Linked DNA regions of Notamacropus eugenii. The protein of the gene in region 4 interacts with the protein of the main gene of each other region in a pairwise test. Links are inferred from orthologs where the notes say so. Each region holds a gene or a part of one and is shown on either strand. Other genes may lie near its edges. The genes, in order: THRB, NR1I3, RORC and PSMC5.

Region 1 (7,935 bases), on a different chromosome or scaffold from region 4:
CCCTTTCCTTTCTAGAAAGGAAATACCTAGGGTATTTCATTTAATCCTTACAACCCTGGGAAGGTGGGTGCTATTATTGCCTCCACTTCACAGATGAGGAAACTGAGGCTGAGAGAGACGAAAGTCATTTGCCCAGAGTCACACAATCAGCAAGTGGTTCAGGCTGGATTTGAACTCAGATCCTCCCAACTCGAAGTCCAACACACATACTCCAGTTGCTATTTATCTGGCTATATTAAAACTCATTTAAACTTTCATTCCCTCAGTGCTGCCCAACTGTCAAAGAGAAAAAGAATAAATCTGATAAAATGACAAGAGCTGGGCAAGCTGGGCAGGACCACATGGATAGGAGAAAGAGTAGGTGCCCACTGTCTAATGTGATGAATTAAAGCTTTTTAGGAGACAGCTGAGCAGAAAATAGCATGCTGTTAATGGCTGGTAAAAATGTGCATTGAAAAGGTCAGGATTAACCTGTTGGGGCAGCACAAAGTGCCTGCTGTCAAGTGTGTTTTCTCTGCCTTCTAAAAAAGAGAACTGGCCAAGGGTAGTTCTGGAGCAAGGCCCGCGACTGTGGCCTCTTCCCTTGTCGTTCCAGCCCCTTCTCTCTGTCTGTCTGGAGGACGTTCCGAGCCTGGAATGAGCCATGGCCCTATCCCACCCTGTCCATGCTGATGGGAGGGATGGCCAACTGTGGATTCCTGCAGATCCTTCTGGACTCCTGGGGGGTCCCTTAGAAGAGAAGGGGACATCACAGGGCCAGGAGCCAAGGGCCCCATGGCTCTGGAAAGGGGACATTTCCTGGCAGCTACTTGTGATGGTGTTTATAGATTTAAGGATAAAATAATGAATAAATGAGCAAAAAGGCATTTATAAAGCATTTTTCCTATGCTAAGCATTGGGGATTCATACAGAAAAGTGAGACAATCTTTGTTCTCAAGGAGATCACCTTCTAATTGTGGGACACAACATGTCAAGGAGAGTTCAGACACAAGGTCTGGTGCTCATTAGCAGGTATCAACAAGATAGATACGAAAGGCCAGGAGTCCTGAGGGTTTGTTGCCAAGTCAGATGGTGGTGTGTAGGGGCCTGGAGGGTGTCTTTTCAGGGCAAATGGCAAGTACTGAAGGGCCAGAGTGTAATCTGGGTAATAATAATGAGTTGACACTTATATGGTGCTTACTCTGTGACAGGTACTGTGTGAAGCACTTTACAATCATTACCTCATTCGATTCTCACAACACCCCTGGGAGGGAGGTGCTGTTATTATCCCCATTTTACAGATGAGGAAATTGAAGCAAAAGGCAGTTAAGTGATTGTGAAGGGTCTCACAGCTAGTAAATGTCTGAGGCTGGATTTGAACTCATGTCTTCCTGATTCCAGACTCAGTGTCCTATCCACTGGGCCATCTAGATGCCTATATGGTAAGGCCTGGTGCACTTACTATGTGTGAAATACAGCTATGTACTGGAGATACAAATAGAAAAGTAAGACGGTCCCTGATTTCAAAGAGCTCACCTCAAATCAGGAGACAAATGGGAGTTCTTTGGAAGCCAGGGGCAGGGAAGATGGTAAGGCAAAGTGATTTTTCCACCTTACTGGAAGGAGTGTAACTGGTGACTCTCTGCTCAGAGTAAGCAGCAAAGCCAGGCCTACAACCCTTGGGAGGGTAGGAGTGGGTCTGAGGGTCAGAGTGAATGAGGGGCTCTGGATTCCCTCCAGAAGAGGTAGTAATAAGTAGATTGCTCATCATCCAACATGGAAGGGGAAGGGTTTGGGAAAGTGGCATTGGAAGGAAGATTGAGATGTAGGGTAATAGCTGCTCTGTGGAGTCCTTTGGCACATGGCAATGTCTGTGCAGGAATGGATTTGATTCATCTCTTTTCACTTTCTCAGCCAATTCTACTCTGACCAAAGGGAGATACTTGCATTATGGTTGAACAGAATGCTAAGGGAACCCTATTACTATAGAGTAGAGCAAAGCTTACAGTCACATGGAGAAAGCAGTGGCTATCCATTTTCTAAAGAGATGTAGTGTACACTCACAAGGAACACACCTGGTTATGGTTTCTCATTGGTACTGGCAACAGTAGCCGCTGCTGCAACAATTTCAGGAGCTCTCTTCAAGAGGGTAAAATAGAGAGTGAAAGAATCCACCTTTCAGTGGAGGTAGTAAGGTAGTGAACCAGTCTGTGATATAACAGAGCCCATGTGAGGAGTCTTTTATCTTGATACAAGATGGATCCTAGAGTATCTAAGGACCAACTTGGGGCTGGTCAACTTTGACAGGATTATAGATTGACCTGAGGGGCTGCCATTCACTAACCTACTTTATACTCAGGAGGAAATGAATAATAACAGCTCACATCAAGATGGCACTTTAAAGGAGTGGAGCCAAGATGGCAGATTGGGGGCAACCACCGAGGTGAATTCTCCCCACATTCTCCTCCAAACAACTTTAAAAAATAGCACTTGAAATCAAATTTTGGTGCAGCAGAGCCAATAAAAAGTCGGAGTGAGACATTTTTCCAGCCTAAGAAAACTTAAGAGGTTGGCAGGAGAAGTCTGTCACTAGGGTGGAGTCCCGTGTTGGAGCCTACACACACAGTAGTGGCAACAGTAGCCGCTGCTGCAACAATTTCAGGAGCTCTCTTCAAGAGGGTAAAATAGAGAGTGAAAGAATCCACCTTTCATCGCCTGAAAGATTCCCAAATGAAAACTCCCAGAAATATTAAACCCATTTCCAGAGCTTCCAGGTCAATGAGAAAAAATGTTTCAAGCAGTCAGAAATAAACAATTCAAATATCGTGGAGTCACAGTCAGGGTCATACAAGATTTAATGGCTTTCATGTTAAAGGAGTGGAGGGCTTGGAATAAGGAAGATAGGGTTACTACCAAGAATCACCTGCCCAGAAAAACTGAGTGTAATCCTTCAGGAGAAAAATAAATAGACAAATACATACATACACACACACATATTTAATGAAATAAAAGACATTCAAGCATTACTGATGAAAACATCAGAACTGAAGAGAAAATTTGACACTTAAGAGAAGTATAAAAAGGTAAACATGAAAGAGTCATCATAAGGGACTCCATAAAGTTAAACTGTTTAAATTGTTATATGGAAAGATGATACTTGTAACTCCTAAGAACTTTGTAATGCCTAGAGCAGTTGAAAGGAGTTTACAATAAACTGAGGGCATGGGTGTGAGTTGATTACTTGGGATGAACTCCAAAAAAAATTAAGGAGGGAGAAACAGGGATGTACTGGGAAAAGGGGGTAAGGAGAGGTAGAATGGGGAAAATTTTCTCACATAAAAGAGGCGTACAAGGAAGAGCTTTTACAATGGAGGGGGAAAACGGATGGTAGTGGCAAGCAATGCTTGATCTTCACTCATTAGAACTGGTTGAAAGAATGAAGAAAATGTGTACACACAGACACACGTATACACACCCCTCACCCCTCACATATATGTAAATACATGCATATACATATATATACATATGTACATAGACACTGAGTTGTATATAGAAATGTAACTTACTCAACAGGGAAACAGGACGATTAGGGAATAAGAGAAAGAGGTGGTTTGATAAAGGGGAGGGTGCATTAAGGGAGGCAGTTGTTAGAAGCAAAATAAGAATTTGAGGAGAAACGGGACAGAGAGAGGGGAGAAAGGGGAGAGAGGAGAGAATGAGAGGGAGGGGGAAGAAGAGAGGATTATAGGATGGAGTGAAATAGACTGTTAGTAACGACAACTGTGAATGAGTCTGGGATGAGCTCACCCATAAAATGGAAGCATACAGTGGAATGGATTAGAAACCAGAATTCAATAATATGTTGTTTATAAGAGACACACTTGAAACAGAAAGTCACACACAGAATTAAATAAAGGTCTGGAGCAGAATCTAGTATGCTTCAGCTGGAGTAAAAAACGTTGTGCGGATAGTAATCAAGTCCTCAACCAAAACCAAAGCAAAAATAGACCTAACTAAAAGAGATAATCCAGGACATTACATTTTGCTAAAAGATACCATAGACAATAAAGCACTATCAAAAATTTTTAAAGCAAATTTCTGTAATAATTTCTCAAATGTATTCTGAGTATGGAACCGAGTCAAATTTATAAAAAAAGAGTCCAACTGATAAATGGCCACTGAGAGGGGAGTTTTCAGAAGTTATATACAATCACATAAAAAATTGTTCTAAAATCACTATTGATTAGACAAATGCAAATTAAAACAACTCTGAGGTAGCATCTACACCTATCAGAAATGACAAATGCTGGAAGAGATGACGGGAAAAATAGGTATGCTAATGAACCATTTGTAGAGTTGTGAACTTGCCCAACCACTCTGGAAAACAACTTGGACTAGGCTCAAAGGGCTATAAGACTGTGCATACCTTTTGGCCCAGTAATACAACTTCTAGGTCTGTATCCCAAAGAGATCAAAGAACAAGGAAAAGGATCTATATGTATAAAAATATTATAGCATCTCTTTTTGTGGTAGCAAAGACTTGGAAATTCAGGGGATACCCATCAATGGGGGAATGGTATATGATTGTGATGGAGTATTATTGTGCCATCAGAAATGATGAGGGGGGTGGTGTCAGAAAAAAAACCCAACATGAAGATCTAAATGAACTGATGTGAAGTGAGAAGAACCAGGAGATCATTGTACACAGTAACAGTAGTGTTGTAATGATGATCAACTGTGACAGACTTGGCTACTCTGATCAATAAAATAATACAAGACAATTCCAAATTGCTCACGATGAAATAATGCTATCCACCTCCAGAGAAAGAACGGATGAACTCTGAGTGCAAGCTGCAGGATAATTTTCTCACTTTCTTTATTTTTCTTGCTTGAAAGGTGGCTAATATGGAAATATGTTTTGCATGATTTCACATGTATGATTGATATCATATCGCTTACCTTCTCAGTGGGTGTGGAAGAGGTGGGGGGAGGGGGAGAATTTGGAACACTCAAAGTTTAAAAAGAAAAGAATGTTCAAAATAAATAAATGAGGACTTTTTAAAAATAGATGGTACTTTAAAATTATTAGCAAAGTGCTTTCTGTACATTATCTTACTTGATCCTTACAATAATTCTGTGAGGTAGATGTAATCATTATTCCCTACTTTACAGAAGAGGAAATTATTGCATCTGTATACATATATAATATGCACAACCTATTTATATCCCTATAATGTATCCATAAATACATTTCACACAATGTACTTACTATGTAACATACATTACTTACTATAATCATATATGTATATAACCACACATTTACATGCAAACCCCACACATACTCATACAGATACAATACACACGAACACACATGTATATGCATGTTATACACATGCTCATATACATGTATGTATAAAAGTGTGCCACAAAGAGCTAGCCTTAAACTCCGGAAGACCTTAGTTCAAGTACTGACTTGTATGGCTGGGCAAGTCCCAGCTGCTCAGACCTCCAGTCAAATCTCCATGGCTCTAGGTTGCCAGTTACCAATCTGCTTTGGTAAAATCAATTCCTTAAACCAGTGACAACCTAGGAACAGACCAAATCTACATGTGTGTGTAAATATGAACATACACACATATATAATATATATACTTTTAGATTCTGTCTCTGTCTCTCCTTGAAAGTTTAGAAACCCCTTTTCTCACACTGGTTCTGTGGGCTGATTCTGATTTACCCCTAGTGGACTTGAGACAGCACATCTGAGAGGATGAGTCACTTGGTCTGGATCCCACAGCTCCTAAGGGGCAGAGCTTGGCCTTGAACCCTGGTTTTCTGATTTCAAGGACAGGGCTCTTTCTGGGGTCTCATGTTGGCCCTTCTGGGCAGGGGTGTGAATGACCTATAGGAGGAAGGGCCAGGCAGGGGGGAAGCTCAGGGTTTTGACCTAAGCGTAGATCACTGGAAACAGAAACAGAAAGCTTCCAGGAGAAGGGACGGCTCCCCATGAAAAGGAAGAGCCACTGGAAATGGCTGCGCAGACCCTGGAGGGAGAAATATCAGGGAAGGACAAGTAGCAGTGAAGTAATGCTAACCCTTGACTTGTTGTCAAAAGGTCCTCTGCCTTGGTCTCTCCTACTTCTTCAGATGAATTTAGGAGGAATCCAAAAGGCAGAAGCCTGTACACAAACTACACCTGCTTTACTAAGAAAACTCAATAGTAACATTCTCTGAGGATGGAGGGAAAAACATTATTTTCCTCTAATGAGTCTTTTGTGTCAAAACAAACAAAGGTACCAGCATTTAGTCTAATAATATAAGGAAAGAAAGAAGACAAGAAAAAAAAGGTGGTGGAAAGTTTATGTGTGTCAAATTCAAACCACTCTTTTGGGAATTCATTTTGTTTTACTGACTCTTGAAATGAGGGAATACAAAACTGATTACAGGGCTTCCAACACAGAAGGAACTTTAATAAGTAGTTTTGGAAAGAAGAAAGGAAAGAGAGAAAGAAGAAAAGGAGGAAGAGAGGAAAGAAGGAATGAGGGAAGGAAAAAAGAAAGGAAAGAAGTAAAGAAAAAAGAAAGAAAAGAGAAAAAAGGAAAGAAGAAAACAAAGGAAAAAAAAGGAAAGAAGGAAGGAAAGGAGAAAAGAAGAAAAAAGGAAAAAAGGAAGATGGAAAGAAGGAAAAGGGGAAAAGGAAGGAAGAAGGGAGGGAGGAAGGAAGGAAGAAAGAAAGGGAGGGAGCAAGAATGGAGAGAGAGAGAGGGAAGAAGGAATAAGGGAGGAGGGAGGGAAAAAGGAAGGAAGAAAGGAAGGAAGGAAGGGAGAAGGGAGGGAGCAAGCAAGGAGGGAGAGAGTAGGGAGGGAAGAAGAAAAGAGGGAAGGAAGGAAAGGAGGCCTTTATTGTCTCCTGCCTGGAATGTCCTCATTGTTTTCCCCATTTCCAGTCCTTCCCCTCTAATCCATCGCCCACAAAGCTGCAAAATAAATCTTCTATGGCATAGTTGGACAATGATGTTCCCTGCTCATAAACCTTCAGAGGTTCCCTGTTGGCTCTGTGAAACAAAAATGACTCAGGCTGGCATTCTTGACCACCCGTCATGGCCTGGCTCCTGACGACCTTTCCAGTCTTATCTCACTGTACTGCCTTTCAGTCCTCTATGTTCCAGCTGAAGGGGCCTCCAGATGTTCCCTCAATTCACATCCCACCTGCGGGACACTCATGCATCCCATTCCTCACATCCACCCACCCACCCATCCATCTAGCAAACATTACCAAGTATCTCTTGTGTGGGAGGCCCTGTGCTAGGTGCTAGGGATACAGACACCAAAATGACATTCCTGGATAATTCTCCTTCCTCCTCCCAGAATCCTTCTAACAAGAGCCAACATTTCTACAATGTTTTATGATCTGTGAAGCACTTTGATGCACATTATCTCACTAGAACCCCACAAAAGCTTTGTGAGGCAGGGATGCCTTCCCTAATTTACAAATGAGGAAACTGGTGAATTGAGTCACCCCTGACCACAGAGCCAGGCACCTCAGGGATTAAATAGGAGCCCAAGTAACTCCCACTCTATCATAGTGCCTCTCACACTGCCTTAATCTTCCTTCAAGGCTCAGGCAAACATCGCCTCCTTTCTAAAGCCTTCCTTGATCCCTATCCTCGTTGTTAACATTCTTCCCCTCCTCAAATGGTCATATTTTGATGCATTGGTGTGCATGTCACATACTCCTAGTAAGTAAGCACCTTGGTGTCAGGAGCTTAGATTGTGCTTTTTCTATTCTCAGGACCTAGTATAGTGCCTCTCACATAAGCAGATGATTACCAAATATTTGTTGAATGGAATTGCAAGAAGGAAATAAAGAAGGGAAGTAGGGAAAAGGGGAGAGAAGGAGAAAAGGGAGGGGCAAGAAAGGAGGGAGGAAAGAAGGATAAAGGAAGGATAGAAAGAAGG
Region 2 (7,188 bases), about 76 Mb from region 4:
CCAGAAACTGCTCCTGGAACCCCACTGAAGGACACAGCGGGTTCAAGGGCAAGACCACAGCTTGCTGAGCTGCTTCCCAAGCCCTCCCTGCCACCTTCTATCGGGGGAGTACATGGGAGCTGTGCCCCCTCACCATGAACCGCATCCTGGTAGGTATAGCGGAGAGGCCCACACAGGAAAGTTTGGCTGTGGGGGCAGAAAGTGGTGTTGAGCTCGATATGACAGATTTCCAGGGCTGCACCCTTCAGTAAGGATATCTGATCTTCCATAGGCAGAGACCTGCAGGGTAGGAGAACAACAGAGGAGCTGAGCTGGATTGCTGAGACTATTAAAAAGCAAAGTAGTCAAAGGCCCTAGTGAAGATGGAGAACAACAAGGCTGGGAGCAGGAGCATTTGCCATGGAGACATTAGAGGGTGTAGGAAAGGGTCCTTTCCCAGACTACTCAGAGGTAGTGGGGCTCACTGACCGGAAATGGGGCAGATCCTTGGTGAACTTGATCACTTGCTGTACCATGAAGGTGCTGATGTCTGCCAGGTGTATGAGTAATGGCAGGACAGGTGACAGGGAGCCTGCAGGCTCGTTGTGGATGAACAAATGGGCTGGGGGCTAGAAGAATGGACAGTCAGAGGCCTTGACTCAAGCATCTTCTTGATGCTTTCACCTCTCCCAGGGAGGGGGCCTTGGCTAAAGGGGCTAATGGTCATTCTTCAACCATTAAGTAACACAACAGACATAACCATTATGTCTCTCAGAGTTGGCACCCCTTCAAGTCTCTTCCATGGGTCAGCCTTCCCTAGTGTTTTGGTTCTAGTCTCCCTCCCTCCTCCTCTTCTGGAGCTCTTTGAATCTTGACCCCAGCAGGTACTCACCCGGAACTGCACAAACTGGTCAAATAATATGGTGCCCACATGGCGGGCATGAGCCCCCAGTAACACCTGGACTAATGCCTCCTGCTTCTGACTCAGCTGCACAGGTTCCTGTTCTGCCTTCTTTTGGGCCTGTTTTGCCCGCCTCTGTGCCAGGACTTCTGCTGACAGGATCACTGTGCTCCAGAAGAGACAGAAGAGGTGCTGAGAGAGGTGGAGTCTGACTATATCAGGCCTGGCCTCAGGAGCTCCTCCAGGCCCCAAACCGAGCTCTGCCAAGGCTAGAAAGGTGCCCAAGGTTTTCCTCAATGGTTTCAGGAGCCCCAAAGGTTTTCAGGGTTCTGTAGGGTAAGATCAGCTTGCAGGGGTCTCTAGTCTATTTTCATAGAATGTGTAGGTTGCTGCACTAGGGAACAGCTCAGAGCGGGAGAGTGTTGGGAAGGTCTGTGATACCAAGGCCTCTCATACAAGCTCTGGTAAAAGGAGAAAGTCTGTTCTATAGGTGTAAAGGTGATGTGACAGGGTGGGACCCCACAGGTATGGAGGTGCAAGGGAGAAGGACAATTCATGGCCTCAGGGTCTTAATACCTAGAGAAAGGAAATGAAGGTTGGGTCAGGGAAAGTAAGATGGCCCTTGGAGTTACATGACCAGTATGGAGTAGTGGCAGAATCTGAACCCAAGCCTAGCAAGTCCACTATACCACCCTTCTCAGGGGATGGGTTGGGGCTGACTCACTGTCCTTCCTCATGCCTGCATCAAAGCATTTCTGTAGCCTACATGCTGGGCAATGGCGCCGCTGGTTTTTGCTGACCTCACAGCATTGTTCAAAAGGACAGGTGAGTCCCATCCCCTTCTTGACAGTCCGCCTGGGAGACGCAGAGAGGTGGTTGAGGACTAATAAGATGTAGGAAAGGTCCAAAGAAGAATTAAAGTTTGTGTGGCCTGGTCTGAGCAATGTCTTTAGGAGAAAGTGTGTGGAGTGGATGGCATGGGCCAATCTGAAGCATATAAGGAGACCAAGTCAGGAAAGGAAAAACTCAGGTCATTTGGTGCTTTGCAGAAAGTGGCTTATTGTCATAGCCAATTAGGAACAAATTATATCCAAGCCCACTTGAGAGAGGTCTAGGGACCTCTAGAACCTAGGGACCTTGATCCCAATTTTTTCTAAAGGTTTTCTATACGACTATATAATCAAGTCATGATACTCTATACAATAACGACTTTAGTCCTTTTCATATCAAGTTTAGTAATATAGTGTTGTTTGGCACATGGTAAACGTTTACTGCTAGGAGTAGATAAGTTGGCAGTAAATCTGAGACAAAAGTTCAGGGTTTTGTCTTTGCCTTCTACTTGTTTGTATAATGTTGAGGTTGGCAGGACTGTGAGGGCTGGCTTTGGGGTCATGGGCTGCAGAAATAGAGCCCCATGACCCCATATGATATGGTCAAGCCTATGTTCTCTTCAGGCGTAGGGGCAGAGTGATCAACTGTATGAAGGTTCATTCCTGTAGGTGTCCTCACCTGAAGAACCCTTTGCAGCCCTCACAGGTCAGGGCATGGAAGTGGTAGCCAGTGGCCCTGTCCCCGCATACAGCGCAGCTCCGTAGTTCATCCTCTCTGTTTGCCATTGATCTTAGGACTTCAGATGGGCCCCAGTCCCCTGAGAATGAGAAAGGGTGGGCATTTTGTCCTTGTCAACCTTTGAGTCTTCCCAGTTTCTCCCTCCTACAGCACTCATACTCAAGCTGTTGTCTCTGGCCTTAGCCTTCTGTAGCTTTGGCCCCCTTTTGTGTCAGTTGCCAGGGGACCTTGGTTTCTCAGATATTCTACTTCCCATGGTCTGCAGTTATCTGCACTTTCCTTCCCTTTCTCAAATTCCTGTTGTATCCTTTACCCTGCTCAGCCCACCCAAACCATCATTCTTGTTGCACTTACCTGTATGGCCCTCAGCTTCCACGTGGGAGTCATCAACCTCCCTCCCCAACCCTCACCCCCAACTCTATACTTGGTTCTTGCCCCAGCTTGGACTCAATTCCTAGTATCAAGGATAGTGGACCTCAGTACCTGAGATGGGCAATGGGGCCCGGTGTTGTGGAGCTTCCAATAGTTCTCAGTGCCTGGGCTTAAGGTAGACTTTGGACCTAGAATGGAGTCCAGGATGGGTGGTTATCCCAGCATGCCCAAGAAGTTGGCATTGGTAGCATGGAGGAGGAGCTTAGTGTGAATGAGACCTAGGGACTCTCTAACAGTGGTTTCTGCCCCATCACACCTCTCACAGGTCAGGTCTGCTGGCTGTTGTCAGGGTGAAAGTATCTGTGACAAACTTTAAGAATGTCCAGTGTAGATTTCCAATTTGTGACAGGATGAAATAATCTGGCTTTATTAAAGGGAATTCCTCCTGTTAGAAGGAAAAACTGGATAGACAGGGCAAAGTGTAGGAATCTGACACATTAATAACTATGTATATTAATAGAGTAGGTGTAGGAGGATAGAGACTACTCTGGTATTAACATGTTATTGCTTTGTTCTCTGAGCCCCAAGATAAAGGAACCGATGATTTCTGATAATGAATTTTAAGATTCAGCCAGGGTCAACTCTCTTCCTCCTCTCCCTTACACAGTTCTCCACAGGAAGTAGTGGACCATTGGTGTGGAATGAGGCATATGTTTTCAGAGGTGGTCAATGTGTTGATATGTTTTGCTTGTCTGAACTTATTTTGTTACAAGGAAGGGTCATATGGTGAGGTAGAGCAGGGGTGGTGAACCTGGAGCTTCAAGGCCACATGTGGCCTTCTAAGTCTGAGTCCAACTGAGTCCAAGTTTTACAGAACAAATCCTTTTAATAAGGGCATTTGGGGAAGTTTAGATTTAGTCAAATGGTCACACTTGAGGATCTAGAGGACCTTGAGGCCACAAATTCCCTACCCCTAAGGTAGAGAGTCATTGGGAAGTGTTGTTCAATCCTTTCATTCATGTTGGACTCTCTGTGACCCCATTTGGAGTTTTCTTGGTGAAGATACTGCAGTGGTTTGCCATTTCCTTCTTCAGTTCATTTTACAAACGAGAAAATGGAGGCAAACAGTGTTAAGTGACTTGTCCAGGGTCACACAGCTAATAATTATCTGAGGTCAGATTTGAACTCAGAAAGATTAGTCTTCCTGACTCCAGGCTCAGCACTCTATGCACTGTGACACCTAGCTGCCCCCAATATAGGGGGAAGCGATGGGGATTAAAAACTTTTTTTAAAAAGACAAACAAAAGAATATCATTAAGTATTTTAAAAGAAAACAGAAATATTCAAGCAACTATAGTCTTCAGTATAATTCTTCAGCTTACCCTTCATATCACAGATCACAGCCCTTCCACGCATTTCTAGTTGCTTTAATGAACTGTTGTGGCTAAAAACAAAACAAAACAAAACACCCATATTATTTGGTGATGAACGCAGCTAGGTTGGTCCTTGGACAATAGTCAGATGCTGGAAGCCATGCTCTCAAAGCTTTTCCAGCTTAGTAAGACCCACCAGAGCTGGAGAATACAGGGGCATCTCCATGAATGATGACCCATCAGAGTAAGCCTGAGTGGAGACAATGTCCAGTCTTCACTGGTAACATTGGTAAGTGACATACCTGTACTTTACAGGGATGTACCTACCTCTGCGAATAGGTCTTTCTCAGCATTTCTCTGTAGGATTGTGCTTTTTTTTCATTTTTCTTAAGTAAGCCCACAAGGCCACATCATTAGGATGCTCTGCCTTCTTCCTACGTCTCCCAACTCCAAGGACAACACTTTATTCTCAACTATTTTGGGGAATCACTCCACTCTTCATCACTTCAACTGGAGGATCTCTAAACCTCCTTCTGCCACTAATATTATGTGACTGAGATTTGGTCTCCATCCTTAAGGAATTCAGAATATAGAGATGAGACATATATGCTCAAAACCGGATTACACCCGAGACAATAAATAATAAACTTCAAGATACAGCTAATAGTAATAGTTAGTATTTATATGGTTCTTACTATGTACCAGGTGCATTACAATTTTCATCTTATTTGATCCTCACAACAACCCTGGGAGGTAGATGCTCTTATTATCCCCATTTTACAGGTGAGGAAAACTGAAGCAGACAGAAATTAGCAACTTGCCCAGGGTGGCACAGCTAGTTAAGTATCTAAGGTCAGATTTAGAGCTCAGGTAGGTCTTCCTGACTCTAGACCAGGGGTAGAGAACCTGTGACTTCTAGATCCTCAAGTGTGGCCCTTTGTTCTGAATCACAGAACAAATCTCCTTAAAAGATTTGTTCTGTAAAACTAGGACTCAGTCAAAAGGCCGTAGTCAAGGACCTGGAAGGCCACACATGACCTCGAGGCTCCAGGTTCTATCCACTGTACCACTTAGCAGCCCATCATATATACATATATACAACACTTGACTAAGTGTTTAGTTCTGAAATTTAAGGGACAGGAAAGTTCACTGTGGACTAAGAGATAAACTAAGGCTTGAACTTCGAAAGAAATGTTACATTCAATTATTCATTACAACAAATATTTATTGAACATCTGTTATATGTACCTCATCATTAAGAGGTGTTGGGCATATTCTCCATTTATGTGTGCCTTATTTACCTAGTCTACATTTTGTACCTATACTGTATAATTTTTGATGTTTCAAGTATCTCTACTGAAGTGATGTGGATACTAGTACTGTAAGTCAATCAATAATCTCTTATTAAGTGTTTAGTATGTGCCTGGCACTGCACAAGAAGCTGAAGACAAGAGAAGACAGAGTCAAGGGGTCCTGCCCTCAAGAATCTTACATTTTATGGGGATTGGGGGTGGGGAGAGAAGAAAACATGCAACAATAAACAAGTAGAGAATATATACAAAGGAAACACAAGTTAATTTAGGGAGGATGGGCTCTAGAAGCTGGATGTGTGTGGGTGTTTGGAGGGGGAATCCAGAAAGACTTCCTTGTAGTAGATGTGCCTGAGCTCAGTCTCAAAAGAAACAAGGGATTCCAAGAGTGGGGGGGTGGGGAGTGGGAAAGATCCCTCTTGACATAGTGGAGATAGCAACACCTTCCTGCTTCCTCATCCCATGTAACTCTTGTCTGTGTCTTCCATGAATTCCTCCATTGAAGAGTTGCCCACTGGAGACTTTCTTCTGGTCCCTTGAATACTTTATGGAAATGAATGCAGTACTCTGGCTGTCCATCTGTTTTCCCTGGCTCTAAATGAGTGACGGGCACATCTCCTTTTCTGCGTCATGGGTGCCCTTGAGAAGTGACATAAAAGACATCACCAAGGGCAGGCCATTTTTGGCAATATGGCACAGCCTACTTGTACCCACACTCTGTGCTTTTCTGTTTCTTTAGGTCATCTGCTATTTTGAAGTGCCTGTGAGCATGGTGTTTCATGATTCACAGTCACATAGCATGGCTGGAAGAATATGGATGTCTGGAAGATGGGTTTTGGGAACAGCTTGGGATCACTGAAAGTGTTACTGCTGAATTCCCCAGATCCAGTCCAATCCAATCAAGAAGTAGCATGTAATAAAGGAAATGGAAAAAGTGCTGGACTTGGCAGAGGGAGCACTTGGAGAGGAATCCAGTGACCTCCAAAGTCCCTTCTGACTTTAAATCTGTCATCTTGTGATCATTTCTAACCAGGCTGGGCTCCTCTGGGGTTCTCCATACATGTCAGGGACCTCTTCAGCCTGGAAGACCACTGCAACCCCAAACTCCACTTCCTACCTTCTTGGTACCTTCTGTCCTTGGAGCCCCTTCCTCTTACTGTAGGGTGCCCAGGCCAGCCATCTCTTTATTTCCCTTGCCCTTACGCCCCTTTGGAGATTTTAGCACCTGAGATAACACAGGTTTTTACCTTTGCAAACCCTGAAGTGCTATATAAACGCCAACTATTATTGTTAACAAGCACTTAGTAAAATGTGCCTACTATGTGCCAGACATGGCATTGACGCCTCCTTGCTATGCCTCTTTCCCACTCTGACCCGCCGCCATCCATACCTCTTCAGCTTCCATTTCTTTGCGATCTTTCACATTAGAACAGAAGCTCCTTGAGGGCAGGGGCTGTCTTTTGCCTTTGTATCCCTAGTGCTTAGCATGGTGCCTGGCACATAGTAGGTACTTAACAGATGTTTATTGACTGACAGTATATATACACGTAAGATATAAAAGAAATGATTATTTCTCTCTCATATTAATAATCAGTTATTGAATTAGGACTAGGATTTTTTTCAGAAGGTCATTTAGTCTCTAAAGGACCTTGTTGCTAATGGCAATGAATTGACTTTGTCCTCC
Region 3 (6,905 bases), about 38 Mb from region 4:
ATGAACATTTCTCTTCATTCTTTCCTTCCCCAACTAGTCCCATTTGCCTCACTCTTCTGGTCATTTTAGCTCTTCTGATCTCTCTCCTATACCATCTTTGCCCTCCCTCACCTTAATTTTTCAAAGTTGTCCATTTCTCTAAAATTCTCAGTCTAGGAACCCCTTCCCACTACCAGACCCTGTCTCAATCCACATCTCCCAGCTGTCTCCCCCCACATACATATATGCACTCACAGGTATGGGTCTTCTTTGCAGTTTCAGGCCCTGTAAGAAAAGGAGAATTATGAGGACTTTGGACCCATTGAAGGTAGTAGGGCCAAGAGATGAGGGTCCCCTTCCTCTCACTGGTCACAAATACACCCCAACCCCCAACACATTGGCCATCCCCATCCCCTTAGCCAAACGTGTTGTTGAACTTTATTAGCCTCTGTAAGCCCACATACCACCACAATTTTAGTTTGGGGTCTAGGTAGAATAAAGTGCATAATAGGGGAAGGGGTAGGCCAAGGGGCCTTGGTCAGCTCCGGATTGGGGAGATATGTTAAGAAGTAAGAGTTACTGGCAATTCCCCTTAGACACCCCCCAGGCCTGCCAAGACTTTGGGAGCTCCTCTTGGCTTCCTACTCACTTCAGCGAAACAGACCTTATTCTCCCTGTTCTTCTAGCTCCTCCAAGTTGGAGAAGACCAGCTGTCTGACTCCCCCAACTCCAAGTCTGCCCTATACCTCCCTGTTTCCCTCCCTGTATCCCATCAGGCAAACCTCGAGATTGTCAGTTGGAGAGACAACTTCTGGAGGAGAGGAGGGAGTGGGAGAGTACTCCTATTTCCTTGGACCTAATCTGTTTTAGCCCCAGCCTTAGCATTTTCTTGCTTCCTCCCTGATGTGGTACACCAATACTCAGTTTTCTTGGGGTTCAGCTTGTATCCTGGATGTCCTGGGAGCTGGTGATGGAAAAAGACATCCTTCCCTCTCTCCATCTTTGCCAGCATAGGGAAAAGTTTCCCTCCCACCCCATCCCAGATCCACCACACACACACACACACACACACACACACACACACACACACACACACACACACACACACACACACACACGCGCTCTTATAACTGGCCTGGTCACTGACATCTGTGCTAACCTGAGCACCTGAGGTCCTGGGAAGGTCTGATTCTAGGTAATGCCCACCAGAGAGCAAATAGAGAGAGTGACACTGACCACTTAGCTAATCGGAGGGTTTAGACCGACCAGCAGTCATAGGTTCACAGATTTAAAGCTAGAAAGGATTTTAGAGATCTTGCAGTCCCTAACCTAGGGCCAGACACAAAGAAAGCACTTTATAAATAATGCTTATTGAATTGAATAGTCCAATGCTCTCATTTTTGCCTCATGATTCTAATAATAGTAGCATTTGCACGGCTCTGCTTTAAGGTTTGCAAAGTGTTTTGCAGACGTTATCTAATTTTAACCTCACAACCACACCAGAAGGTAGGTGCTATTATTATCCCCAATGTGGCAGATGAGGAAACTGAGGCACACAGTGGTTAAATGATTTGTCCAGGGTCACATAGCTAATAAGTGTCAGACTCTAGATTTGAACCCAGGCCTTCCTGACTCTGGGCCCAGCACCCTTGTCTCCTGCGTGACCCAAGAAGAAATGGAGGCCCAGCAGGCTTTTTCCTTGCCCAGGGTCAAACAGTGAATATATAACAACAGTGGATGTTTTAACTCCAAGACCAATGCTCTTTCTGCTACATCTGAGGCATTAGATTCAGGAGTTTTTAACTTGGGGAATCCATGAATTTGTTTTTAGAATTGGTTTCCTTCAGTCTTATCTATTTTATTTTGTATGGTTAAAAATCTTATTCTGAGGAGGGGTTCTCTGACTTCACCAGGTTGTCAAAAGTGTCCGTCACATGAAAAGATGTCAAAAGCCTCAGTATGCCCATTTGTGCCCTGGTGCCTCTGTCCCTAGAAAATTACCTCACAATTGTATCATGGTCAGTACAATACCCTATCCCCTCAGAATTAAAAATTTACCAGGTTGGTACTTGAACTGACATCAAAAAGTGATCGCACTCCAGGATAGGGGGTGGGGCATGCCCTTCCCAATTCCCCCATGCCCCTGCTATCCCCTACAGCCAGGATAAATCTCCCTCAGCTTGGGCACTGCCAAGTGGAAAACACCAGGAAAGCTGGGAGACCTCAAGAGGGACTCAGACACAGGGACGTGGAGCTGGGGAGTGGGTAGGACCCTAATAATCATTTATGTGTAGAAGCACACACTTTGAGAGACCCACCGCATACTGGCTGAACATAAACTCCAAGATTCCCACCCCCTGCCCTGTTTCTTTCTCTCTCTTCACTGTGACATTCTCCCTCTTCTCTCTCCTTTTCTCTTCTCTCCCGTCTTTCCCAATTCCCTGTCTCACTCTTTTCTATCTCCTTCTCCTGTCTTCCCCTTTCTTCTGGTGGTGTCTTCTTGTCTTTTCTAACTCTGTCTCATCACTCCTCTTTTTCCATCTCTCTTTCTTCTAGCTCTCTATTTCCTGTCTCTTCTCTTCTTTTTCTCTTTCTTCTCCTTTCTATTTTTTCTCATTACTTCTCTTCTCTTGTCTCTCCCTTTACTTTTCTCTCCTATTTCTCTAATCTCTCCCTCTCCCTATCTCTTCTTCTTCTGTTTTTCCCCTCCCCTCTCTCTGTCTTTCTCTCTTTGTTTCTCTCTCTGTCTCTCTCCTCCTGTTTCTTCTTTTCTCCTCATTGCTTCTTCCCTTTCCCTGTCTTTCCCTCTTCACCTTTTCTCCTCTCTTTCTACCTCCTGTCTCTCTTCTCTTTACCTGTCCTCCTATCTCTTTCCCTTCTTCTTTCCTGTGCCTTTCCCACCCTCCCTGTCTTACCCCTTGTAGCTCTGTGGTGACTTGGTGGGGCCCTGTCCATGGGGCAGCTCACTTGTTGGAAGTCCTTGGTCCCGGTTGGGGATCAGAGCCCAGGGGAGAAAAAGAGGGAGGGAAGGAGGGAGGGAGCACCTGGCTAGGCAGTAGGCAGGGGAGAGGAGTGGCTGTCAGAGCATCCTAGCACTATAGGCAAGTGGGAGGAAGGGAGAGGAAAGAGACTGGGGAAAATGGAAAGACAGAGAAGATACATGTTAGAGGGAAGGAGGACAGAGATAAGGGGAGATAAGGAAAGAGACAGATGATGGAGGATGGGAAAAGATAGGGAGGATACAGAGATACAGGAGATCTAGCAGTACAACTGGGGCCTCTCCTCCATCCCATCTACCTGACCTCGGTCCCTCCAAGCCCTCTCCCTGTACTACCTATACCCTTCAGGCTGGCCCTGCATGTCCTAGACCAGGTGGGATTGCCCATCCTTTGAAGGCTTTTCAGATAGACTGCACATATCACTGTATCACTAACACAGAATAGTTCTGAGCTCTGCAAATGATCTGGAGAAAGTTGAAACATAAAGTTTGGAGGAAGATGGGACTGGGGGTGGCACGAAAGAAATGAGGCCCACACAGCAGATCCCAGGACTTAGAGAGACCCTTCCTCTCCAACCTCCCACCCCTTACTCTTCACCCCTTCTCCGGAGACAGGAACAAATACCTGTCCTGGTGGCCGCCTGTCCCAGTCTCAGTCCCAGGGTTTGATTAGCTGGGCCTGGCTCCTGATGTTACCCAACAGGCTGGGGTTGGCAGGGAGCCAGACAGGAGGGGGGAGGGCTCCTGGGCACCCCTCCTCTCTCTTCAGCTGGTAAACAGCAGCTGAAGACCTGGCCATGCTAGGGCCTCGTGACTCTGGCTCCCCCGGCTCCCCCGCCCCGCTTCCATCCCAATTTCCCCCACCTCCCACCACGTGGAGGCCTGCATGGAAGAAGTAAGCAGCAGCTGTCCTTCGATCTTTAGCCTCCTGGACCCCTCCATTCTACTCCCATTTCTCTGCCAAGATTTCTGCTTCTGGCACCAAAGAGAAGAAGTAAAGTTTAGCTATGAAGACGAACTTTCCAGTGGGGAGTCAGACGGAAGAGAATCATTTTGTCTAGAGCAGACACTTTTGGTATCAGAATTGTCTGTGTATTTATAACTCGAATAGTTGACATTAATATAGTCTTTTAAGGTTTACTTTACATTTCTATTTTCTTAATTGTTTCTCCCTCCTCAACCTGGAGAGTCCACTAATTTCTGAGGCTCAGAATGGTTGTCACTTGCCCATGGTAACACAGGAAGTGTAAGAGATGGAATTGGAACCCAGGTATCCCCTGATTTCAAGTGCAGTGCTCTTTCTAATACTTGCCTTTAAGGATTCAATTTAATTCAACAAATGTTCAGGAAGTGCCCATGTTGAACACGAGATGGGAGGTATGAAGTTTGGATGAGATATTAATCAGCCTTACTGGCTTAGAACTTAGAAGGAAATTCCAGGAGCAGAATATGGCACATCTGAAAATCCTAGGTAAATGCCAAAGCTGGGAAAGGCCTCTTGTAGAAGGTAGGCTTTGAGTTGGGACTTGTAGGAAGTTGAGGAAACCTAGAGACAGAGGTGGGGGGTGAGGGGCAGGGCAGGGGCAGAACACTCCAAGCATAGGGAACAGATAGTGCTCAGAGGGGAGGTGAGAGATGGAGGGTCCTGTAAGTAACCTAATGTAGCTAGATCATGAAAACATAAAGATGAGAATCATGAAATAATAATGATTTTACCCACCTGTGTAATAGAATATAGAACATTAAACTTCAGAGTTGGATAGTAACTTGACCCCAAATTGTTTCTATATGAACCCTATTGAAGGAGATGAAAGAATGGAGATAATAACAAAATTGTGACTGGAATGGGGATTGAGAAGCAATGTGTCACAGTGGATAGAGGGCTGGCCTTGGAGTCAGGAAGACCTGGGCTCAAGCTCTGCCCCTGATTCTTATAACCAACATGATCATGGGCAGGGAGGGTATTCCACCTCTTAGCACCCTAGGTGATTCTGCAAGACTGTAAGTTAGGATTGGGTTGTGGATCTCTGTTTGTTGTTGGAGACAGCTTGGCATAATGGATAGAGTCTAGCCTGGGAGTCAGAAAACACGAGTTCAAAACCTACTTCAGGCACTTGATAGTGGTATAGTTCCAGGGAGGTCATTTAAACTCTGTGTGCCTCAGTTTCCTCACCTAGAAAATGGGGATCAATATCAACTGCCTCATATATGAGATTATGTAATGGAAAGTGTTTTATAAATCTTAAAATGCTCTATAAATGTTAGCTATTGTTGGCCACCGGAGGGATTTGCCATACTAGACTTTTACCCACATTGATGAAATCAAAAAGGTCTGGACCAAAATAATAATTCAAAGTTATGTAATAAGTAGGCTTTACCTTCTTCATTACAACCTGTAAGTAGGACAGGTAACAGCACCCCCATTTTACAGATGGATGGCTGGCCCAAAGTCACACAACTAGAATTTGAATTCAGACCTTTTTCTGCTACATATTGCTTTAAAATATGAGTAAGAATTCAGCACTCACAATGTTCCAGGTTCACTCTCTTAGTTTTTATCTTTTTTATCCTTTGCTAAGGATAGTCAGGGTGTGGATCTGTTACAAACTAACAGGTTTGACATAGAAGAGAAGGGGCCTCGGCCTTGATTGGTCCAACCCTGATCGACTCCTCTCCTTAGGGGCAAACAGACAGGATGGAGAGGGGTGGGGCACAGCTAATGATTGGGAGAGCACCCTTCTCTGGCAACTTGCCTTTTATATAACTTGGCAAGCCAGGCTGGGCCTAAGAGCAGTAATCAGAAGCTCCAACTCTGGTGGGTGTCTTGCACGTGGTGTTTGTGAAAGGAAAGGTCCTGACCTCCAGTGTAGAGGAATTTACCTGGCACTAAACTTTGCCTTTTCTCCTACTTCTCTGAATCTATCTCCTTTTCCCTCTTTTGCCCAATTCTTCTCCCCCAGTCAACAGGCATTTATTAAGTGAACAGAGAAGAGTTGGAGGAGGTGATGGTGATAGTAAAGTCTAGAGAATGAAAGATGACTGATCTGTCCGCTTTCTTAAAATGCAAGTTCTGGGAAAAACTCACCAGTGGGAGAAGGTGGATACATGAGTGGGGGAGAAGCAGATGAGGAATAGTATACAAGTCTAGACAATTAATTCTATTTTTTTAAAATTAACAAGCATTTATTCTCCCTCCTTTACACTGATTAAAAAAAAAAAAAGAAAAAACTTTGTAACATTCAAAGTCAAGTAAAATGTGTAATGTGCATGGTCAAGTAGAACAAATGATCATGTCCAGATATGCAGGTCTCATTCTGCATCTTGAGTCTATCACCTCTCTTTCAGGAAATGGAGGGCATGATAAGGTCTTATTCTGGAGATCAAGCCCTAGGCCCTGTGGTGTCTCACACCAGCAAATCTACTTCTCATTGGCAAAGCCCTCTCTCCCTCTCCTCCCACCGGTTGGTATGGTATGGACACTATAAACGGGAGTAGAAGGGAGACCAATTGGTCCTGGCAGAGTGGGTATGCCCATTCTGCCCCACTTCTGCCCAGTATGTAGGTGGAGGAAGAAAGGGAGGAACCGGGCCCAGAGGAGAGGGTAAGTTAGGTGTTTCCTCCTATACCTTGGCCAATCTCTTTCCTACCAAGCTGGAGCCTAACATGTTGGAGTTCCCCTCCATGGAGAAGGAGATCCCCTAATCTCCCTTGTCTCTTCTACTCCAGGAACTCATTCCTTTCTTCCGGCTGCAATCTCAGCCTATTTTCCAGGAGAATCAATCCCTCCAGAACTGGGCAGTGGTTTTTAAGCCCCCACCCCCGCCTCCCCACGCACTCTTATGCAAGGAGGCAGATAGATATCAGCCAGTCATTTCAATCCCCCACGTGCAGAGCCCCTTATCAGGCAGGGGAATCTCAGCCTTGGGGG
Region 4 (7,744 bases):
TCAGTGTGATGAGCCACAGCCCGAGCCAAGAGAGTTTTGCCAGTTCCTGGAGGTCCATACAGCAACACACCCTAGGGTAGGGTATGCGAAACTCAGTCCTCTCATAGTAAATTCCACCTCTATTCTCTCATATCCCAATTAATGTCTTTCAGGCACAACTGCCTCTGACCTCTTTGTGACTTAACATTGGTATCTGGTGCAGGGCATGGATGAGAACCTCCCATTTGGCTCCCACAGTAAATCCTACCCCTCACCTTGGGCTGTGCAATGCCTAGTGCTTCAAAGAGCTCAGGATGCTTAACAGGCAGTTCAATCACTTCTTTGATCTCCTTGATCTGCTTGTCTAGGCCACCAATCATCTCATAGGTTGAATCAGGCACTTTTTCCACCATCATCAAAGATACCAATGGATCTACTTTGTTGGGCAGAATTTTGTGCAGGGTGTAGCTGTCATTTCGAAGAGCCACACGGCAATTGGGTGTCACCTGGTTATGGTGGATGATTTTAGAAAACATCACTACAATACAGCACACAGGTTCCAGCCCCTTACCCCCTTTATTCCTTGCTACACTTACATCATTGATGTCGATGTTCTTATCTACATCAACCACAAACTTCCCTTCAGGATGTACCTAGAGGGAGGAGTTTATTAGCTTTCCAAGTGGCATCAGTCTCCATCCCAGGTACCAAGTCATACAACCAAGGAAAAGTCAAGGAACATTAAAAGAATATGTATCAACCAATAAGATGCAACACTGTCCCCTCCCAAGGGTCCATTTAAGGGGTAACAAATATAGCAAATAAACCTGTTTCAGTCCCTGGGGTCAAACTCTGTACCTTGACCAAAACTTTCTTTTTATCCATAGCTCGGACCACTTCCCCCACATAGGACCCCTGCTCCTGCAACAGCTGCAGCTCCTCCCGTAGCAGGCGCACTGTATGAGAAGCAAATATGAGCAGTTTTGTTTCTTTTAATTTTGCAACGTTTTGCTAAATAGCTCAACAAACTACCTGATTACCATTCCAGCCCAGTAATTCAAATAATTCAAGCACTGTTGTGAAGCATAAAATATTTTGATCTTTAAATGTTTTCAATATATTTAGAAATGTAAATAATGCTAATCCAATCATAATGCTTCTGTTCAATTGTTTTGGTTGTGGCCAACTAGTGGTAACCCCACTTAGGGTTTTCTTGGCAAAGACACTGGAGCTATTTGCCATTTCCTTCTCCAGCTCATCTTACAGTGAAGGAAATTGAGGCAAACAAGGTTAAGTGATTTGCTCAGGGTCATACAGTACTAAGTGTCTGAGACCAGATGTGAACTCAGGAAAATGAGTTTTTCTGACTCCAAGCTTGGCACTCTATCAACTGCACCACACAACCGCTCAATCACATGCTAGTTTGTATTACTATTTGAAATGTAGCAAGGGAGGGTACCACCCAGAAAGTCAAAACAGAAGCCAGAATCTATGAATCCCAGTCATTATGCTGGGCTCCCACCTTTTGCATTTAGCTCATTTCTTTGTGCTTGCAAACGACGTAGATTTTGGCTCTTGTCATTCACGATCAGCTGAAGTGGGCAGAAGATAACAAGTATAATGTATAGGCAAGTAGCTAAAAAAAAAAAAATTTCCTGGCCAAATTTCCTAAATGTGATTATGAAAAGGGACAAGGTCTGCTATACCTGGTTTCAGATTCTAGCAAACAGATCACATCCACCCTGTTCTATGCCTCAAAAAGTCCTGCCATGATTCAAAAAGGTCCAAAGAAGAAGCTAATTCTAGCCTAGATATTACATGCCCTCACAAAGAGAGCTTCAAAATTCTGGGGGACCTTTATTTTTTTTATTAAAGCCCAGGTCAGTTATTCACTACAACAATGGAGTTTGTAACACAGACCAGACAGCTGCTAACCCTACCTCTTACAGCTACATACTTTATTTTTCCTACAAAAACTTTAAAGCCCCCACCGAAGCTTGTGAAAATATCCTTCACTACGTCTTCATTCCACCCAGTTTCTACTCTTAGACCTCTAAAATTAGAATTCTGGGTTTTCTGTCTTCCTTGAGCTCAGGCCCAAGCAACAGGTGTCTTCCCAGCATTTGTCACGCGGAAGGTTCCCAAGCTTCTTCATCTCACTTATTTTTTTTCAACCCAACCCCCTCCCTATGTGGCCAGCCCAACTTTCCATGCCTTCCCTCCCTCCCTAAGGGGGGGTCCTTGGAGACTGATTTCTTTCCCCTCCTCCCAATCTGACCCCCACTCCCATAACACCCGGGCTCTCCCTCCCCCCTCCATCCCATGGCCTCCCGGAGTGACGCTGACAGAGATTCCTCCCGGAACCTTCAAGCCCTCCTCGTCCCTTGCCCCGCGTCTCACCTGAAGTTCCTCGATCTTGGACAGGTAATACTGCCGCAGCCCACTCCCGGCCTTGCCCTCCTCCAACTCCATCTGCTGAAGAAACGTTATCAGATAACATTCTGGGGGGTGCCTACGGCACAGAGACCCGTGAGGCTGGCACAGCTCCCTGCCCGCCAGGAGCCTGCCATCAACGCGGGCGTGAAAGCGACACGCACCCGCACGAACACCAATCACGCGCGGGGCACGAGGGCGGCCCCGCCCCGTGCGATCTGGGCTCGGGGCCGCATCCCCGGCCCCTGACCCGGCCGGGGCGGCGCTGACAAAGCACGTCGGCCTGTGGGGTAGCACCGGCCCTAGCTGAAGCTCGGCCCCCGCCTCCATCGGATCCAAACCTGGGTTCGGTTTGTCCCCCGCCCAGATATGACTTCCAAACCCCATCTGTCCCCGCAATTTCCCTGCCCGGGCCCCGCCGCAACCTTCCTACCTGCTCCGGTCCGTCCAGCGCCATCTTCCTTCCTCAGATCCGGATGCCGGCATCCAAGTGAGTTCTGGGCGCAAGCGCAAAAGGGCGGGAGCCGCCGCGGTCCGCGATTAAACTTCCGGGTCAAGCGACGCGACTCTCAAGAATGATCGCTGGTAGAGGCCATGTTGGGAAGGTCGGAACTCCACGTCTGGCCATTTCGGAGAGCGAAGAGAGGAAATGACCCGAAAATGCCCCTCCCAGACACTCCCTCGACAATTGGCTCCTACTGCTCCCTCACCCGCTCGCTGGGTCTTAGGTTTACTTGTATGGGAATCCAGGGCGGAGCTCTTGGGGACGTCACTTCCTGCCTCTGACTTCCACGGCAGTAAAGGGCTTGGATTAGATCACCGTGAACGTCCCGCCCTATGGGAAAGTCCAAACCGTCCTATCAAAACCACCTCAAAAATCTTTCTCTACAGACTCAAGATGGCTGAAGGGGCGGAGTCATCTCCGTAAGAGCGAAGGCGACGGAAGAGGGAGGGAGCGCATCCCCAGCCTACACGTGCCCCCGAAAGTTGGGCCGGAGGTTCTGGTGGGCCTCCGCGCGTGCGGCGGAGACTTCTCCCCGGCCAGAGTGAGGGCACACCTCCCCGCGGCGCCATGGGAAAGAAGGGCAAAGTCGGGAAGAGCCGGCGGGACAAGTTCTACCACCTGGCCAAGGAGACCGGTGAGTCGCGAGGACCCCGCGGGCCCTCCGTCCGGGCCTCCGTCGTCCGGGCCTCCGTCGTCCGGGCCCCCGGCCCCGCTCACTCGGCCCCTCTCCTCCCGCAGGCTTCCGTTCCCGCTCCGCGTTCAAGCTGATCCAGCTGAACCGCCGCTTCCAGTTCTTGCAGAAAGCCCGGGCCCTGCTGGACCTGTGCGCGGCGCCCGGGGGATGGTGCGTGCCCGCGGCCCCTTCCTCGGCCTTCCTTCCGTCCACCCCCACCCGCCGCGCTCACGCCGGGCATTTCCTAGGGCGCTGGTTCTTTTTATCTGCCCCTCCCCGCGCCCAGCCCCCGCCGCGGGACTGACAGGTTACAACGCCCCTCCTCCCCCTTCACCATCCCCCCCCGCCCCCACAGACACGCACCCAGGGGACAGAAGCGGGCTCCTTCGTGCTGGAGGAACTTCCCAGCGTCATCTCCTCGCTCTCTTTAACTCCCCAGGCTGCAGGTGGCTTCCAAGTTCATGCCAGTGTCCAGCCTCATTGTGGGTGAGTGTACCGTGTGGCCCCCCGCTGCGTGGGCTGGGGAGTTTGGGGTCCCACCCGCATCCCCCGTCGTAGCTGGGATCTCACCCTGCGTGTTTTTTCTAGGAGTGGACCTGGTTCCCATCAAGCCCATTCCCAACGTGGTTACGCTGCAAGAGGACATCACAACCGAAAGATGCCGCCAGGTCAGCCTTTGCCCCTCGCTCCTTTGGGGAGTCCTTGCCATGGGAGTGAGAGCTTTGGCCGCGTGAAGGAAGAAGCATCTGCTAAGCACTTGCACTGTGCCAGGCACCAGGGATATAGATACGTACAGAAGATGATCCTGGTGGTGGCATAAAGGAGACTCATTCCGGAGTTTGGGTTCTGAGTGAGGGTAACAGAGAGGGCCAAGTGACGAATGGCTGGAGCCCTCAGGCCAGACCACAGTGGGGGACGCATTTGTGAGGGGCATGAAATGGCTTCTGGTAGGGGCAGGGGGAACTAGGGATTGGGGTGGGCACAGGTGGTGAGTGAGTGGGGGTTGGAGCCAGGTGTGTGTGTTCAGTGTTAAGGATGGGATTTGTCATCATGGATTTTTTCACTTGAGAGAAATGCAAGTACGTAAGCGGGAGAAGACTTGGGACCCTGTTTTACCCATGGTGTAACGTCCAGTGTGGTTGTGCTGTTTATACAAGGCTAGTTGTGTTGTCCTTGACTTTTGTCATTCTCCATTTTCATGTCCATCATGTGTTTCTTGGTTTAAGTGAAAACATGTATCCAGCCCTTGAAAGGGGCTACACCATAGGGAAGATCTAGAGTTTGGTAAGGAGGTGTGACTTTCTGTTTGCCTTTTCCAGGCTCTCAAGAAGGAGCTGAAGACTTGGAAGGTTGATGTTGTGCTCAATGATGGGGCCCCTAATGTAGGGGCTAGCTGGGTCCATGATGCCTACTCACAAGGTACCTAAGGAGATTTGGGGCTGGGACTATTCACAGATAGTGAACACTCTAGCTGACGAGTCTTGATTCCCCTCAGCCCACCTGACCTTGATGGCACTCCGTCTGGCTTGTGATTTTCTTGCACGTGGTGGCTGCTTTATTACTAAGGTTTTTCGCTCTCGTGACTACCAGCCCCTTCTCTGGATTTTCCAGCAGTTGTTTCGCCACGTCCAGGCCACTAAGCCCCAGGCCTCCCGTCAGGAATCGGCAGAAATCTTTGTGGTCTGTCAGGGTGAGTTGTCTTTTATCCCTGTATATTCTACTCCTAAGGCCTCTTTTTTTTCCCCTTTAAAGCCTGTTCTTATCTTTTCCCTTTTCTCTATACGCTTCTCTTCCAGGTTTCCTGGCTCCTGATAAGATTGACAGTAAATTCTTTGACCCCAAATTTGCCTTTAAAGAGGTTGAAGTTCAGGCCAAGACTGTGAGTGAATTGGTAACCAAGAAAAAGCCCAAGGTATGTATGTGAAAGAGAAGTGCACATACCCTGAAATCTCTGAGAATCATTGAAAACACCTCAAAGGGGACTCCCCTGTCTGTTCTGTGTTTCTTTCCTGGTCCCTAGGCTGAAGGCTATGCTGAAGGGGACCTCACCCTCTATCATCGGGTCTCCCTTACTGACTTTCTCCAAGCAGCCAACCCTGTTGACTTCCTCTCCAAAGCTAGTGAGGTGAGTGTCCAGAATTAAAGAGACTTGTGGAAGAGTCTCCCTGACCCAACTAGGAAGTTTAGTCCTTTCTAATGATTCTCCTTCCTTGCTGAGCAGATCATACTAGATGATAAGGAATTGGAACAGCATCCAGCTACTAGTGAGGACGTCAAGGTGTGCTGCCAGGACATCAAAGTACTGGGTCGAAAGGAGCTCAGGTACTGGGGCGAACATCTCAAATCATGAGACTGAGAGGGACCTTGGGCAAGCCTGAGTGTGTATGAGACAGAGTAAGGCCCAAGGAGACTTGAGGAGCAAGTGGTAACTGGTACCTTTCTTGTAACAGGAAACCTTTGTCCCAGAAATTCGGGTTTGGGACAAAGCATTGATTTTCACTTATTTTGTGATCTTGGTATCTGAATGTAGCTCTGATGCCCTCAATGAAACATTTAATGATGATAGAGTAGGGTGGTCAGTAACAGGGCTTTTGGAACAGGTCCCTGCTGAATTGGAGGACAAAGCTTCGTCGGTTTGTGGCCAAGAAGCTAAAAGATCAAGCAAAGGCACTGGACATCAGGTAAGCTGAGGATCAAGGCAGAGCATAAAATTTGAGGAACATTGGAAGAGGGCTAATGACATTGACTGTGCCTTCATTTATCTGTTTTACCTCCATTCCAGTCTTAGTTCTGGAGAGGAGGAGGAGGAGGAGGAAGAAGAAGGAGGAAAAAAGACAGCAGCTGCTGCTGAGGATGATGAGGAAGATTTGGATAGGGCTCTTGCAGAAATGAAAGCCCAGGAGGTAGCAGAGCTGAAAAGGTGAGAGAGAAGGGTTTGGTAACAGAGCTAGGGCCTTATAAGTAGGGAAGGAAGAGAGCAATCCCAGGACACAAAGTATGGGAGTGGGTAGATGGGGGGAGTACTACATCATCAAAAAGTACTACTTTTTTTTTTTTAAAGAAAATTTCGCTTTTTATGAATGCATATAAAAGCCAGAAAATTGCTGTGAAGGATTTACTTTGTGGCATCAAGTTGAATTTGTTATCTAGTGGAGGCTTCATTGTAAGACACAGGTTCAGTTTTCCAGTGTAGTTCATCAGTTTTCCATTTGTGGCTTATATCATGTTTATAACATCTCCAATTTGAACCTGTCTCCAGGTTCTTGACTTTTGAGTACGCAGATTTGGGAGAGGGTTGTGGGGTTTGGAAAAAGCAGCCTGTGGGGCTTGGCTGAGCTTTCTGTGTGCCTGGAGTTCACTGGAATTGACCCCACACTCATCCAGGAAGAAAAAAAAGCTACTCCAGGAGCAGAGGAAGCAACGGGAACGTGTGGAGCTAAAAATGGACCTGCCTGGAGTTTCCATTGCTGATGATGGTGAAACTGGGATGTTCTCCCTACGGACAATCCGTGGCCACCAGGTGGGCTAGAGGGTAAACAAGGGCTGTTCAGTATACATGCAGCATCACGCACTGCAGATTCTCCTAGCACTATTTAACTATGTTGATTTTGTGACTTGTGATTGTAGATTGTGAAAAAGCACAGGACTAGGAGTTAGGAAATATGGATTCTCATGCTGAGTCTACTATGTGTCTAATTAGTACATAATCTCTGTGAGGATAGATTGAAAGAATGGTACTTCTTAAATCTGGAAAGATGAAGGCTAGGAAGGAAAATATAAAGTTTTCATGAATTAGGGTGTGAAACACAGACTTGCTCACTGAATTTGAGAACATTAGGGCCTCAGCAAAGGCCTCTACTAGAGTAGCTTCAAGGATCTATCTGCCTTTGAACCTGTGCTGCTTAGCATTTTTATCAGTGACTTGGATAAAGAGGTGTGCTTCTGAGATCTGCAATGACACAAAGCTGGGAAAGTGAGGCACAATCTAAAATCTAATACCCCATTCCTCCCTTTTAAATTCCAGCTCCTGTACTTAGCATCATAAACTCAGCTGTAATAAGGTAGAACCAGATTACACAAAAGATCCAAGGAGAGGGCTTTAGTGGATTATAAGATCATTGTGAATCAACAGTAAGACAAGACAGCCAAAAACT

Evidence for each region.
Region 1: the proteins of PSMC5 (region 4) and THRB interact in a two-hybrid assay, tested with the Homo sapiens proteins (3 studies listed by BioGRID). The link is inferred for Notamacropus eugenii from reciprocal best matches to the Homo sapiens genes PSMC5 and THRB.
Region 2: the proteins of PSMC5 (region 4) and NR1I3 interact in a two-hybrid assay, tested with the Homo sapiens proteins (2 studies listed by BioGRID). The link is inferred for Notamacropus eugenii from reciprocal best matches to the Homo sapiens genes PSMC5 and NR1I3.
Region 3: the proteins of PSMC5 (region 4) and RORC interact in binary tests that used the Homo sapiens proteins (3 or more experiments, as listed by UniProt). The link is inferred for Notamacropus eugenii from reciprocal best matches to the Homo sapiens genes PSMC5 and RORC.

The regions. Positions count from the first base shown.
Region 1 is NC_092874.1:30,392,432-30,400,366, reverse strand, and holds the start of THRB (thyroid hormone receptor beta), read right to left. Parts: upstream 3,007-7,935; 5' UTR 1-3,006.
Region 2 is NC_092873.1:267,698,190-267,705,377, forward strand, and holds the start of NR1I3 (nuclear receptor subfamily 1 group I member 3), read right to left. Parts: upstream 3,020-7,188; 5' UTR 2,933-3,019; intron 2,893-2,932; exon of another isoform or gene 2,804-2,892; intron 2,529-2,803; 5' UTR 2,497-2,528; coding exon 2,390-2,496; intron 1,764-2,389; exon of another isoform or gene 1,736-1,763; coding exon 1,605-1,735; intron 1,045-1,604; coding exon 872-1,044; intron 609-871; coding exon 469-608; intron 280-468; coding exon 134-279; intron 25-133; coding exon 1-24. UniProt on the Homo sapiens protein: Binds and transactivates the retinoic acid response elements that control expression of the retinoic acid receptor beta 2 and alcohol dehydrogenase 3 genes.
Region 3 is NC_092873.1:305,729,250-305,736,154, forward strand, and holds the start of RORC (nuclear receptor ROR-gamma), read right to left. Parts: upstream 3,003-6,905; 5' UTR 2,935-3,002; coding exon 2,895-2,934; intron 265-2,894; coding exon 235-264; exon of another isoform or gene 221-234; intron 1-220. UniProt on the Homo sapiens protein: Nuclear receptor that binds DNA as a monomer to ROR response elements (RORE) containing a single core motif half-site 5'-AGGTCA-3' preceded by a short A-T-rich sequence.
Region 4 is NC_092873.1:343,827,333-343,835,076, forward strand, and holds the start of PSMC5 (26S proteasome regulatory subunit 8), read right to left. Parts: upstream 3,005-7,744; 5' UTR 2,870-3,004; coding exon 2,846-2,869; intron 2,455-2,845; coding exon 2,380-2,454; intron 1,572-2,379; coding exon 1,502-1,571; intron 936-1,501; coding exon 838-935; intron 633-837; coding exon 576-632; intron 486-575; coding exon 255-485; intron 72-254; coding exon 1-71. Other genes in the region: pre-rRNA 2'-O-ribose RNA methyltransferase FTSJ3, read left to right, coding at 3,485-3,551, 3,656-3,761, 4,030-4,076, 4,179-4,258, 4,910-5,009, 5,086-5,280, 5,387-5,502, 5,611-5,715 and 4 more.